Linked DNA regions of Arabidopsis thaliana. The protein of the gene in region 1 interacts with the protein of each later gene in a biochemical or structural test. Each region holds a gene or a part of one and is shown in the gene's direction. Other genes may lie near its edges.

Region 1 (7,841 bases):
GAGGTGCTGATTGGTACCAATGGAAGCAGCCCACAGGTACTTTTTCTGAAACATTCTCTTCGAAAGGAACTTGGATGCAAATTAGACAAATTTCTCCTCATGTGGCTTGGCATAAAGCTGTCTGGTTTAAGGAATCTGTCCCAAGGTTTTCATTTATCCTTTGGATGGCTTCCCATGAAAGGTTGACAACGAGAGATAGGCTTTTACAGTGGGGTATGAATGTACATGGTTCTTGTGTTCTGTGTGATTCTGGCCTTGATTCCCATGATCACTTGTTCTTCAAATGTGAGTTTTCTAGATCACTTTGGATTTCGCTCGCTGGAAGGATTTCGCCGAATCCTCCACTCTCTTTACCCTTGGCTTCTATGTGGGTTCTTGGTGTACATTCTTCTCCGCCGCACTATGCAAGTAAGATCTTAAAACTTCTTCTTCAAACCGCTGTTTATATGATTTGGAAAGAGCGCAACCGCAGAGATTTCTCAGCAGATGCTACCTCTCTCTCCGCTACAAAAATTCTCGTTGATCGCACAATGCGTAACCGTCTCATCTCCTTCTCGCCGGAGGAATCAGTTACCACTATCTCTCTCCTTGGATTCTACTTTGGTTGTATTAGTACCCCACTATAGGTGTGGCAAAGCTCATATTTATGTATGTATGGTGTTCCATTAGTCTCTCTTCACAAGAGCTCGGTGTGTTTTTGGGGTTTCATTGTACTATGTAAACCTTTTTTCATTTGGTATAAATCTTAACATTAAACCAAAAAAAAAAAAATGTTGAAACCTGTTAACATAGTCTATTTATACTCTATAAGTGCAAAACAGGGTTTTAACATGATTAAGTTTCGTAGTGGAATATAATAGCGGATTGGGATTGTGTTTCATATAGCATTGCCATTGGGATGTAGTGAATCTTGTTTGGAATAACGTATATCGATTTTTTTTTTTTTTTGTTATTTGGGAGATTTTAAGTTCTAATATGACAAGATTATAACATTTAATTTAACATTAAACCAAAAAAAAAAAGATTGTAACATTTTCTGAATTTTTGTAATTCGTTTTACTAGTGTCAGTTTTTTTTTCTTTTACTTTTAACTCTTTCAAATATTTAGTTATTTTAATGTTTTAAAAAAAAAGACTAATTTGCATCACCACTATCTTTGGGTTGAATATTTATTCAATATGTTCCACTATGAATACGTGAATTATGTGTGTGTTTTCATCTACAATTCATACACACACTCTGTCATGATTGTGAAATAAGCAGTAAAACAACAACAATACTAGAAAAAACCACACTTTGGGACATTAGAGTTCGATGTGAATACAATACTAGGATTTTCTTAATGTTAATGGCGATGCCTCTATTCATTCTTCTTCCTCTTTCTTTTATAGTCGTCCTTCACGTGTCCTGCCCGATCCGCAGTATCCACCCTAGAATCTCGTTGATCTCAACAGTTCTTCAGATCTTTTTCATGCCATCTCGCGGTTAGTTGCTTAAGATACACTCCTCGAGCTTGTTGATCAACCGGAAGGCCGACGGATGGGTTTACTAAACAAACTCATCCGTTATTTCCTACTCGCAATACATAGTTCAGCCTGAACATATGTGTCTAATTGATAGGGTAGGCCAAGTAACAACATACACCCAAAAAAAAAAAAATAAAAAAAAAAATAAAAAAATCGTGGAGATTAAAAAAGCTAAACCAATCGACTTCTTGATTAGTTTGATGATTTTATTAATCTTATCGGTTAAAACCGACCGGCGATCGAGGGTTTGGCTTGCCGAGAAGGAAGAAAAAAAAACCCTAAGATTTATTTCTACTCTTCACTCCATTATCGACTTCTCATCATTTCTCTACCCATTGTACTTCTCTGCTCTTGGGTTGTCATCAATTCGCGAATTTGATACACGCACACCCTAAAGAGAGATCCACGCTCGTTTCAAGGTAACCTAAATTCGAACACTTTCGCAGTTTCCCTTCGATTCGAATAAATCACTGTTCTCCGTGGGCAACAATGTACGCCGGCGGCGATATGCACAGGGGTTCACAGATGCCACAACCACCGATGATGCGGCAGTCGTCAGCTTCTTCCACTAACATCAATCCCGACTACCACCACCCATCTGGCCCCTTCGACCGTAAGTAGACTTTGAGCGTCTTCCTTTTATCGGATTAGTGATGACTGTGAGATTTAATGTCTCTCTGTCTGATGTTGCAGCCAATGTAGACAGTTTTGGGGCGAAACGAATGAGAAAGCATACACAGAGAAGAGCTGTTGATTACACCAGCACCGTTGTTAGATATATTCAGGTAATGTATTCCCATTGCTGCTCACAGTATTTCTTTGTTAGAACCTTTTGTACTGCTTGATTATATTTCTCTTGTTTTCTGTAAAGTTTTAGTCTTGGTCTATATACTCATAGCCTCTGCTTTCCCCAGTTGAATTCTTCGGTCCTTTTTATCTCAAAAGCCATTAGATAGGATTGTCTTTATGTCATGGAACTGATATGGATATGTAGTTCAACGAACTCATACTTTATATGGAACTAAAAGTAGAGAGTGTTTACTCCATATATGTTTTTGTTCAGGCTCGAACATGGCAGCGAGACTCAAGGGATAGGACCACTCTGCAACCAACCCCAGCTGCAGCAGTTGATGTTAGATTTCTTTGCTTTTCTGGGTTTTGCAATAAGATTGAATGGTTTACTGATCTAACTTTTATATCAATGCTTCAGATGCTTCCCACAGTTGCCTATTCGGATAATCCTTCAACAAGCTTTGCTGCAAAGTTTGTTCACGCATCTCTAAACAAGAACCGTTGTTCAATCAACCGTGTATTGGTATATCCCTCTACCAGCTGTGTGTTTTGTATTATTCTCTGTTTGCCATGTTTATCTATTCAAGAAAGCAACATCTTTCTTTCTTTGTTTTAACTCTATTATGCCAACTTAATGGGATCATTGCTGATTGGGTTTCTTTTATTTAGTGGACACCTTCAGGAAGACGTCTTATCACGGGCTCCCAAAGTGGGGAGTTTACTCTTTGGAATGGGCAATCTTTTAATTTTGAAATGATTCTTCAGGTTCGTTTCTCAGATTGTATAACTAATCTGTTGAAACTTCTGTTTTGATTCTTCTATAGTTGCTGCTCCTGGTATTGACTGTTTAAATTTGTTGTCAATATCAGGCACATGATCAACCTATTAGGTCGATGGTATGGAGCCACAATGAAAATTATATGGTTTCTGGTGATGATGGAGGCACATTAAAGTAAATTTGTTTTTCCCTTTCAGTCCCTAACTTATGATGTTGTAAACGAGAAGCTCAGAATTCTATGATTCAAATGCTGTGACAATAAGGATCAATTGTTTCTTATGTATCAGGTATTGGCAGAACAATATGAACAATGTGAAAGCCAATAAAACTGCTCACAAGGAATCAATTCGCGATTTAAGGTAAAAAAAAGTTTGATATGTTGAATTGCATTAAATGAATCTCTCAAAACTGAACAATGTGTATCCAACAGTTTTTGTAAAACAGATTTGAAGTTCTGTTCGTGTTCTGATGATACGACTGTTAAAGTCTGGGATTTTACCAAGTGCGTAGATGAAAGCTCATTAACCGGTAATGTTATTTGAACAGATTGGCGGCAGATACTTTATTTCTTTGTTGCTTGCTCTTCTAATTTGAATTTAGAAGGCCGCTTGAGATGTGCTGTACGTTATTAGAATTGGATTCTTAGGCTACATAGGAAAAGGTGTCATTGAGATTCGCTTTGGTGTCATGCCATGTAACGTTAGTTAGTTTTAAAGGTTCCAAATTGGTGCTTATAACAAGTTTCCTATCCTTTTGGAGGCATGTTTTCACAGTTTTCTTCATATTTGTAATATTTGAGAACTTTCGAAGTAATCAAAGGGTTCTTTATATTTTGAACTCAGGCAGGCCATGGTTGGGATGTCAAGAGCGTTGACTGGCACCCCACAAAGTCCCTACTAGTTTCTGGTACATTATTTTATAGACTTCTATTTGAATAATGCAATAAAAAGAAACCGCTGTATATTTCAGAGCTTCTCTATGGCTGATCATTAACCGCTTTAATCTGTGTTGTCAGGTGGAAAAGACCAACTTGTCAAACTCTGGGATACTAGATCTGGGAGAGAGCTTTGCTCACTGTAAGTAGTACATAATGTAATATGTAATTTTATTATAGTTTCATGTTCAAAGCTTTGACGAATTTGATGGCCTATTCTTACTTCTGCAGCCATGGTCACAAAAACATAGTACTTAGCGTGAAGTGGAACCAAAATGGCAATTGGCTTTTAACGGCCTCGAAAGATCAGATAATTAAGGTAAGTCTCACTTTCTTTTGGGTGGGGGGGGGGGGGGGGGATATTGATTTGTAAATGAGATTTTTTCCTTGCATTATGGAAGCATTTGTATGACACTTATGCATGTAATCTGCAGCTGTATGATATAAGGACTATGAAGGAGCTTCAATCCTTTCGTGGGCACACGAAAGATGTAACATGTAAGCTGTCAAATTCTATAATGATCATGTTTTAAACACGTGAAATCAGACAAACTGGCCGCATCAAATTACTTTTCTGTACATTGACTAGGACTCTAGAGTATATGCCTTTGAAAGATTATCATTGTACCCATGCTTTACTTGTCGACATATGAGACATTATCCCATGGATGCGAGTTTTCAATTTGTTTCTTCGATATTTCTAATTTGCAACTATTTCTAATTAAAAGTTGTCTTAACTCTTTTTAAGCTTTGGCGTGGCATCCCTGCCATGAAGAATATTTTGTCAGTGGGAGCTCTGACGGCTCCATTTGTCATTGGATTGTGGGGTAGGTACTGTTGTGCAGCAGTATGCTGTTTTATTTATTCGTTCATGCTGCTATTGTTTTAATCACTTATAAGGGTTTTTTAAATCATGTTTCTTCTCTACATTTTATATTCAGTCATGATGCATCTACATACTAGTAGTCTAGTAGCATCTTACTTTACCTTATATTTTGTGGTTTTTGTTTGAGGTGTATCTAATTATGAAAACTTTTCTTAATTCCCAGGCATGAAAACCCGCAGATTGAAATCCCAAATGCTCATGATAACAGTGTTTGGGATCTTGCATGGCATCCTATTGGATATCTTCTTTGCAGGTAGCAATTTCAATAGTCTGGTGCTATGAGTTCCTTACAGTTTTATTCTATGATGTGTTGTGGTTCCCTGTGCTCTTGAATAACTAAATGCTTCAGATAATGATTTTTAACCCTATTATCTGCAGTGGTAGCAATGATCACACAACCAAGTTTTGGTGCAGAAACAGGCCTGCAGATAATCCCCGAGATGTTCTTATGCAGAACCAAGGTTTGTTTTTGGGCTATTAGTATCTGATTTTTTAGTAGGCATTGGGATGGATAGGTTGTGGGTAGTACATAATTACTATGTCCTTATCCATCTCAGTAGTAAGGATGTTGTGATAGGCTTAACTGGTCAGGCCCTGGCAGGGTCAGTCATATACTCCTATAATGGCTGGTTCGAAATGGACCTTGGCTTTTTAAGGTTCAGGCTCGGCCAGCCATATGGCACCGTGATTAACTGAATTTTTTTGTAGAAAAGAACAGACTTGACTGGTCAAGCTGAGCTGATCTGATATAGGTGCAGATTTCTACAGGCTTTAAAAACTCAGACCCAAGTACTCGGTCATTAGTATCTCACTTACTGTTTTAATTTTGAGCATGTACTTTCAAGTTGCATTTGTCAGAAATTAGTGTTTTTTATTTAGTGTTTACTAACAAATTGAAGATGTGATTTGTGTGTACTGATAAGCGTAATTTGTATCAGGCTATAATGAACAAGGTTTTGGTCGCCAACCTGATAATTTCCAACCATCTGAGGCATCGCCAATCCCTGGAGCATTTGTGCCTGGGTTGACACGGAACGAGGGGACTATCCCAGGAATAGGAATAGCAATGCCATTTGATGCATCCTCTCAAGGGGATCATAAACAGCCTCTTCCAGGTTCCATGGCACTGGGGGCTCCTCCTTTGCCACCTGGTCCCCACCCATCGCTTCTTGGAAGTGGCCAGCAGCAAGGGTATCAGCAACAACAACAACACCAAGGTCATCCCCAGCAAATGCTTCCAATGCCCAATATGCCTCACCATCAGCTACCACCATCATCTCATATGCCATTGCACCCTCATCATCTTCCCCGGCCTATGCAAATGCCTCCTCACGGTCACATGCCACCTCCCTCAATGCCTATGTCTCATCAGATGCCTGGATCAATGGTATGGCCCTCAGATCTCTTGTAATTCAACCACAACTTAAGCCTGGCTTTTGTCGGTACCCCATGTGTTGGATTCCTCTTTGTTTTATTTTCTTAGTGATATCTTAGAGAGGTGTAGAAAGAGATATTAATCCTCACTTGTTGTTGGAGTAGGGAATGCAAGGTGGCATGAATCCTCAGATGTCGCAAAGTCATTTTATGGGTGCTCCTTCAGGAGTATTTCAAGGACAACCAAACAGTGGCGGACCCCAAATGTATCCCCAAGGACGTGGTGGTTTCAACCGTCCACAGATGATTCCAGGCTACAACAACCCTTTCCAACAGGTCCCATTTAAACACTAGTCTTTTGTTATTTAGTATACCCGTAAAGGTTTCACATGTATATATGTGCAAATAGGCAAAATGTCTACACAACAATGCAAAACACCTGATACGATTGAACCACAATACAACTTTCTCAGCTAGTTTTAAACTCACTAGCTAGGTTCAATGGTATGATTAGATGTTGAAAATGTAGAGCTAAAATAGCATAATCCGTTGACTAATCCGTTGTCTATATTTTATTTCGTGCAGCAGCAGCAGCCACCTTTACCTCCTGGCCCTCCACCAAACAACAATCAGCAACATCAGTAGGCAGCCGTTGTATTAGTACATTAGTTTACAACCGCACTGTCTGCGGGATAAAACGATTGAAGTAAAACTATTATATGGGATTCAAATTTCGTTTCTATAAAACAAAACATAAAAAAAAAAGGTTTTTGTTCTGTTCCAATATGCAAATAATTTGTATTAGAATTTTTTGCACCCGTAAAATATTTGAGCATAGTAACAACTTCCATGTGGAGAAAGTATTGATGAAATACTATGATTTATGGCACATGTCTTTTTTGTATTTTTAATAATTAAATTCATATATTTTATGTTAAGTGACCACAGTCATAATACTCTAGTTTTGATACTTAATGTGAACAAGTTACGAAGTTTTAGTGGCTTCACATGTCAAATACTCTAGTTTTCGTTAACCCGACAAACTTTTTTTTTTTTTTTTTTTTTTTTCATAAATTTCCAATTAACCAAAAAAAGTTGCAATACAAAGCCAAAAGGCCAACACAGCACGCAGGCCTGAAAGAACAAAAAACAACCAAATACAAGTTTAAAAGGCTAGATCAAAGGCAGAAGCCCAGAAGACCCAAGCCACCACAGCAGACGGCGAAGGAGCTAGAACACCAAAGCCCGACCCTTTGAAAACCTGCACAAGGAGAAAGCATCAGACTTGAGGAGGATCTCTATTGAGGAAGAGAGAAAACCAAGAACCCAAAAGCGAGAGTCCGGATCTCCCAGGAGCGCGGGAGCGAGAGAGAGGATCCAACCGAGCCCTTATCACCATCTGAATTTCCTTAGTGATAAGATGAGAAGGCCGCCTGATTTCAAATTGAATACGAGCATTACGCTCTTTCCAAATAAAGTAGACAGAAGCTTGGAAGAGAAGCTTGATAATGAGCATTAGATTCTTGTCCCTTGTAGCCGAATTAAGCCACA
Region 2 (4,913 bases), on another chromosome or scaffold:
TGAAATACTATTTTACTAGAAATAAATACCCGATCGACCATGTTGAATTATTATTTTTATACATTAAATTTTTCGATTATATACTTCGAATTCTTGGGTCATAATCTAAATCTAAAAACTAATAACTTTTAAAATTGATTCACATAATAAATTCAAAACTAATAGCTTACACCACAATATAAATTAGTATTTTTTAATCTTAATATATTATGCCACAATCATCTACGTACTTGGATTATTATATGTACTAACCTTTCAGCTTCATTTCTAATTAACATGCAATCACTTAAATGATTTGCAGCATGACTCTTCATTAATGCAATGTAATAACATCAAAATTTAATTAAACGTCAATTACCGTTTCACTCTTCCATTATAAAAAGAAGTAACAAAAAAGTTCTCCCTAAAGATTTTGCTTGCCTGAAAAAAGTATGAATTGCATCAAACAATTTCTCTTGGCAATTTGCTTTTCTCTGGCCCTAACATGTCAAGACCATGTCTTAGTCGGCGGCACCACCACGAGAGACATTATAGTCCCGAAGATTTCTGAGTGGCAAGTCACGGTTGTTAACGGTTTGACAACTGGTGAAACTCTTTTCATCCATTGTAAATCTAAAGAAGATGATCTAGGTGAAATTAATCTGAAGTTTAGAAATAGATTTTCTTGGAACTTCGGAGAAAATATGCTTCACTCAACTTTTTTTTGGTGCTATATGAACAAAGATAATGGTCATATGAATGTAAACGTGTTTTGGGATGATGTTATCTTGTTCCATAGATGCGGTTGGAAGAATTGCATTTGGACTGCAAAAACTGATGGCCTTTATCTTTGGAATTCAGCGAGCGGTGAAGATGTATTGTCAAGAAAATGGGAAGTTGGATGGTGAAGCCATATTTTTGCTTTTTGGTAATTTTTTAGTACATGTATCTTGTTGTTTTTGGCAAAAAAAAAATTGAAATAATAAAAAACATTTGTTTTAACTTTCTCTCTTATTTTGTGTATTTTTCATCAATGATAGATTTTTTGTTTTAGTTCTTTATTTATAGGTCATTTAATTATTAGATTAATTTTCTGAGATAATAAGATCATAGATTAAATAACAATATTGTGTTTGTGATATATAGAGATTACATTTTACACTTATATATATTGGTAAGATTTCTTTTTGCTTTCAAACCATTAAAAACCTGTTAAACGATTAACTTGACTCAAGACAAAGCCATTGATTATTGACTCATGAATCTAGTGACTCATGATGAAGGAGACGAACAGTAAATATTCATTTGATTATTTTAGGTAAAAGGTAGTTCAGACCTAGTCATATATCCTCTAAATTCATATAGTGATGCAAGTATTTTGCATTACTTAGAACTTTATATTATTGATCACCCAACACATGATTTAATAAACGCCATGAAATGCATGTACTATATCAAAATGTTTCTGAAGCATATAGTTGACATGAGAATTTTGGATTGGACTTAAGAATGTGAGAGTTACCTGAAATGTCAATTTTTTTCCTTTTGTTAACGAAAACTCATTGGAACAATTGTATCCCCCTTTTGGCAGTATATAAATATATTGATGGCCCAAGTAGCTGTATTTTTCGTTATCAGCCAAGACTCAATAAAGTCTACCGGTCCAAATTTCAACTGAATCACCGGTCCAACCACTATTACCGTAACTAGACCGCTTTTTCTTTTTTACATTCGGACAAAAAAATCAAAATTTCGAGCAACTAAATTGATCTCATCTTCAATCAAATTCATCATCTTCGATACTCGTTTCTTCTCTCTTTGGTTTCATACAGATCCCAAATTTCTAGGGCTCCTAGTCCTTTGATTTCTTCGACTGGAATCGCAATTCCCCACTACGTCAAGCTGGACAGACACCGAAGGGATCGCCATGAGAGTGGCGGCTACGAGGATTCCTACCATAACCACCGAGCCCATCCCAGAGGTCCATCTCGTCCCTCAGATTCACGCTTCGAAGAGGATGATGATGATTTTCGCCGCCACCGTCGTCGTCGTGGAAGCAGCCCTAGCAATTATCGAATTGGAATTGGGGGCGGAGGAGGAGGTAATGGTGGTCGACGCTGGGAAGATGACACTCCTAAGGATTTTGATGGTCCCGGAGATGGAGGTTTCCGGCAGATGAATGGTCCCCCAGATAGAGTAGATTTTAAGCCTATGGGTCCTCACCATGGTGGAAGTTTTCGGCCTATGGGGTTTGCCTACGATGATGGTTTTCGTCCAATGGGTCCTAACGGTGGTGTGGGAGGAGAAGGGACACGGTCAATTGTTGGAGCTCGGTATAACTATCCCGCGAAGTATCCTCCTTCAGAGAGTCCAGACAGGAGGAGATTTATCGGTAAAGCAATGGAGTCTGATTATTCTGTAAGACCGACTACACCGCCGGTCCAGCAGCCTCTTTCCGGTCAGAAAAGAGGGTATCCTATCTCAGACCATGGCAGCTTTACTGGAACTGGTAAGCATGAGTTCACTCTTCTTTCTTCTATGTATATTTATTCTTGTAGTCTGTTAAGGTTCCTGAGTGTCTCTTATTTTTGTGGGAATCAATGATTAGAGTATTGAAAGGTAGTATGGTTGTTATGTTACTGTATTGTTGAAGGTTTTTCATGGGATCGACTCTAGAGGATCCTTTCGATTTTCCCATGTATGTGATAATCAAAACTATATGCCATCTTCATGTGTATCCTTATCTGGTTAATTTGATTTGCAGATGTCTCTGATCGTAGCAGTACAGTCAAGCTTTTTGTTGGATCTGTACCAAGGACAGCTACAGAAGAAGAAGTGAGTTAATCTTGGAAATCATTGTTATCTATATACTCATTACTGAGAACCTTTTCTAAATTTTTTCTGTTGGTTTTCATATTGTAGATCCGTCCCTATTTCGAACAGCATGGAAATGTTCTGGAGGTTGCTCTGATCAAGGACAAGAGAACTGGACAGCAGCAAGGTATGTCAATCTCCATTTTATTAGGAAATAGTCGTGAATTATACTTTTTAAAATTTCAGGTCTCCCTGAAAAGGCTGATGGGAAGCAACCCCAGTCTCATCATTGGCCTCCAATTGTTTGCAACAATTTTCGGGCTTATTGCTTATGCTTGCCAGCGTCTTATCTGTGTTCGATTCTGTCACAGAAGAAGGCTACCTGTGCTAAGAAAGGGTTTATGTACTTATGTTGGGCAAATAGATTTCGCTACTTGTGTGTATTCTAGAACTTTAGATGTGTTTGAAAAGTGTAGAATTTATTGAGGGTGTTTTAGAGTTGGAGTTAATGTACAGAGAACTGAATTTTGCTGTTGCCTTTATAGTGGGAATTGGTTATAAGAACATCGCTATTTTCCTCTCCTATTGAAATTCATTTTCTTTACTCTTCCTCTAGATGGATTGAAGATGTTGTGTATGGTCTTGACAGGATGAATGTATTTTTTTAAGTTGGTAGTTTGATAAGGACATGAGGTTCAAAAGATGGTTTCTTGATTTGCCACTCCTGCTGGTCAAAGATTTGGCCGTCTTTCTAATTTTATCATGTTGGAGGTTTGGCGTCTTCATTTTCTTTCATATCAATTTATGGGTGTGCTGTCTATTGGTTAATGATGGCATTCCTTTTACCTTTTTGGATGAGTGATGCTGGAATGAATGCGTTTCTCCTTTTCTTTTGTTGATGGCCTGAGGAACTATGATGGCTATATTTCTTTCCACTCTCTTTGAATGGCCTGAAATGTGTGCTTTCTGTATGGTCGTCCCTCTCAATTTCTTGGATGGCTTGTGATGTGATATACCATCTCTCGTCATAGGTGAATGAATGATTTGTTTAGTAGTTCTTATGTATGTATTTTGTATGTTCCCACGTCTCTATTCCTTGGATGGCTTGTGATGTGATATACCATCTCTCGTCATAGATGAATGAATATTTTGTTGAGTAGCTCTTATGTCTGTATGGTGGCCCTTGCAGTGCTGATCGATATTTATGTGGAAGAAATGTTTGATGATAGATTTTTTTTGTATGCTCCCTTTTCGCTAATCAAGCCTTTGTGCTTGCAAGGTGCAACTGTTATTTTATTATTGAATTTCCTGTTCTACTACTCCATTTAGTTCTGTCTCTATTTTGTCAGTGTGAAGAAATACTAGACGATGAATGGTGTGTTTGTACGTGCATAGTTATTTATAAATTCTTGACTTTCCAAGAAGTTATTATTTCTATAACTGCTACACCTTTGTGGATGGCAGAACAAATGCATCTGATTGTGGTGACATAAACACTTTTGATCGCGGTTGAATGTACTAGATTCCATACAACTCTTTCTTCAGCCTTGTGAAATATTATTATGTTAGGTGGTGCAAACATATGGAAGGAACCTGATTGTTTTAGTTTCTTAGAATAGTTTCTGATGTTAATACAGCATGTTGACTTCACTCTCTTGCCCTTGATCAATCAGCATCAGGCAGGGGCCTAATTATGTATTACATGAAGCAATCGTATTCTTTTCTGAATTAGATTTTTTTCCAATGAGTTATCTTGCCCATAACTGTAGTTCTTTATTTGAAGTCTTCAAATGCTTGATGTATGGTGACGAAAATGTGTATATGTTTTGGTTTTGATTATCCGCTACTCATCAATTATTGAGATTCTTACATACTGAATCCGTTACTTTGGACCTATAGTTATGTTTTATGTTGCTAATTAACTTGTACATGTTTCTAGATTTTCTTTCAAATGGATCCTGCTTGGACAAATGCAGCCACCCTTTGTCTGAAAGGCCCTCTTGTAGATATGTTATCTGCAGATACTGACTGTGTTCAATTTTTTAATATTTGTTTTTGCCATATTCTCCATTTGAAGACATTAATTTATTCTCTCCAACAACTTTACATCAATATTTAAG

The links.
Region 2: the proteins of FY (region 1) and FCA form a complex in vitro, tested with the Arabidopsis thaliana proteins (3 studies listed by BioGRID).

Annotation. Positions count from the first base shown.
Region 1 is NC_003076.8:4,325,732-4,333,572, reverse strand, and holds FY (Transducin/WD40 repeat-like superfamily protein), read left to right. Parts: upstream 1-1,601; 5' UTR 1,602-1,945; exon of another isoform or gene 1,946-2,015; coding exon of another isoform or gene 2,016-2,051; coding exon 2,052-2,139; intron 2,140-2,219; coding exon 2,220-2,311; intron 2,312-2,520; coding exon 2,521-2,658; intron 2,659-2,736; coding exon 2,737-2,841; intron 2,842-2,987; coding exon 2,988-3,083; intron 3,084-3,187; coding exon 3,188-3,270; intron 3,271-3,383; coding exon 3,384-3,455; intron 3,456-3,526; coding exon 3,527-3,624; intron 3,625-3,942; coding exon 3,943-4,002; intron 4,003-4,111; coding exon 4,112-4,172; intron 4,173-4,261; coding exon 4,262-4,349; intron 4,350-4,464; coding exon 4,465-4,528; intron 4,529-4,778; coding exon 4,779-4,857; intron 4,858-5,079; coding exon 5,080-5,169; intron 5,170-5,294; coding exon 5,295-5,377; intron 5,378-5,854; coding exon 5,855-6,303; intron 6,304-6,455; coding exon 6,456-6,626; coding exon of another isoform or gene 6,627-6,644; exon of another isoform or gene 6,645-6,794; intron 6,795-6,875; and 4 more.
Region 2 is NC_003075.7:9,211,654-9,216,566, reverse strand, and holds the start of FCA (flowering time control protein FCA), read left to right. Parts: upstream 1-1,741; 5' UTR 1,742-2,154; coding exon 2,155-2,488; intron 2,489-2,743; coding exon 2,744-2,814; intron 2,815-2,901; coding exon 2,902-2,980; exon of another isoform or gene 2,981-4,913. Other genes in the region: SPH1 (S-protein homologue 1), read left to right, coding at 432-887. UniProt on the Arabidopsis thaliana protein: Plays a major role in the promotion of the transition of the vegetative meristem to reproductive development. Plays a role in the regulation of flowering time in the autonomous flowering pathway by decreasing FLOWERING LOCUS C mRNA levels.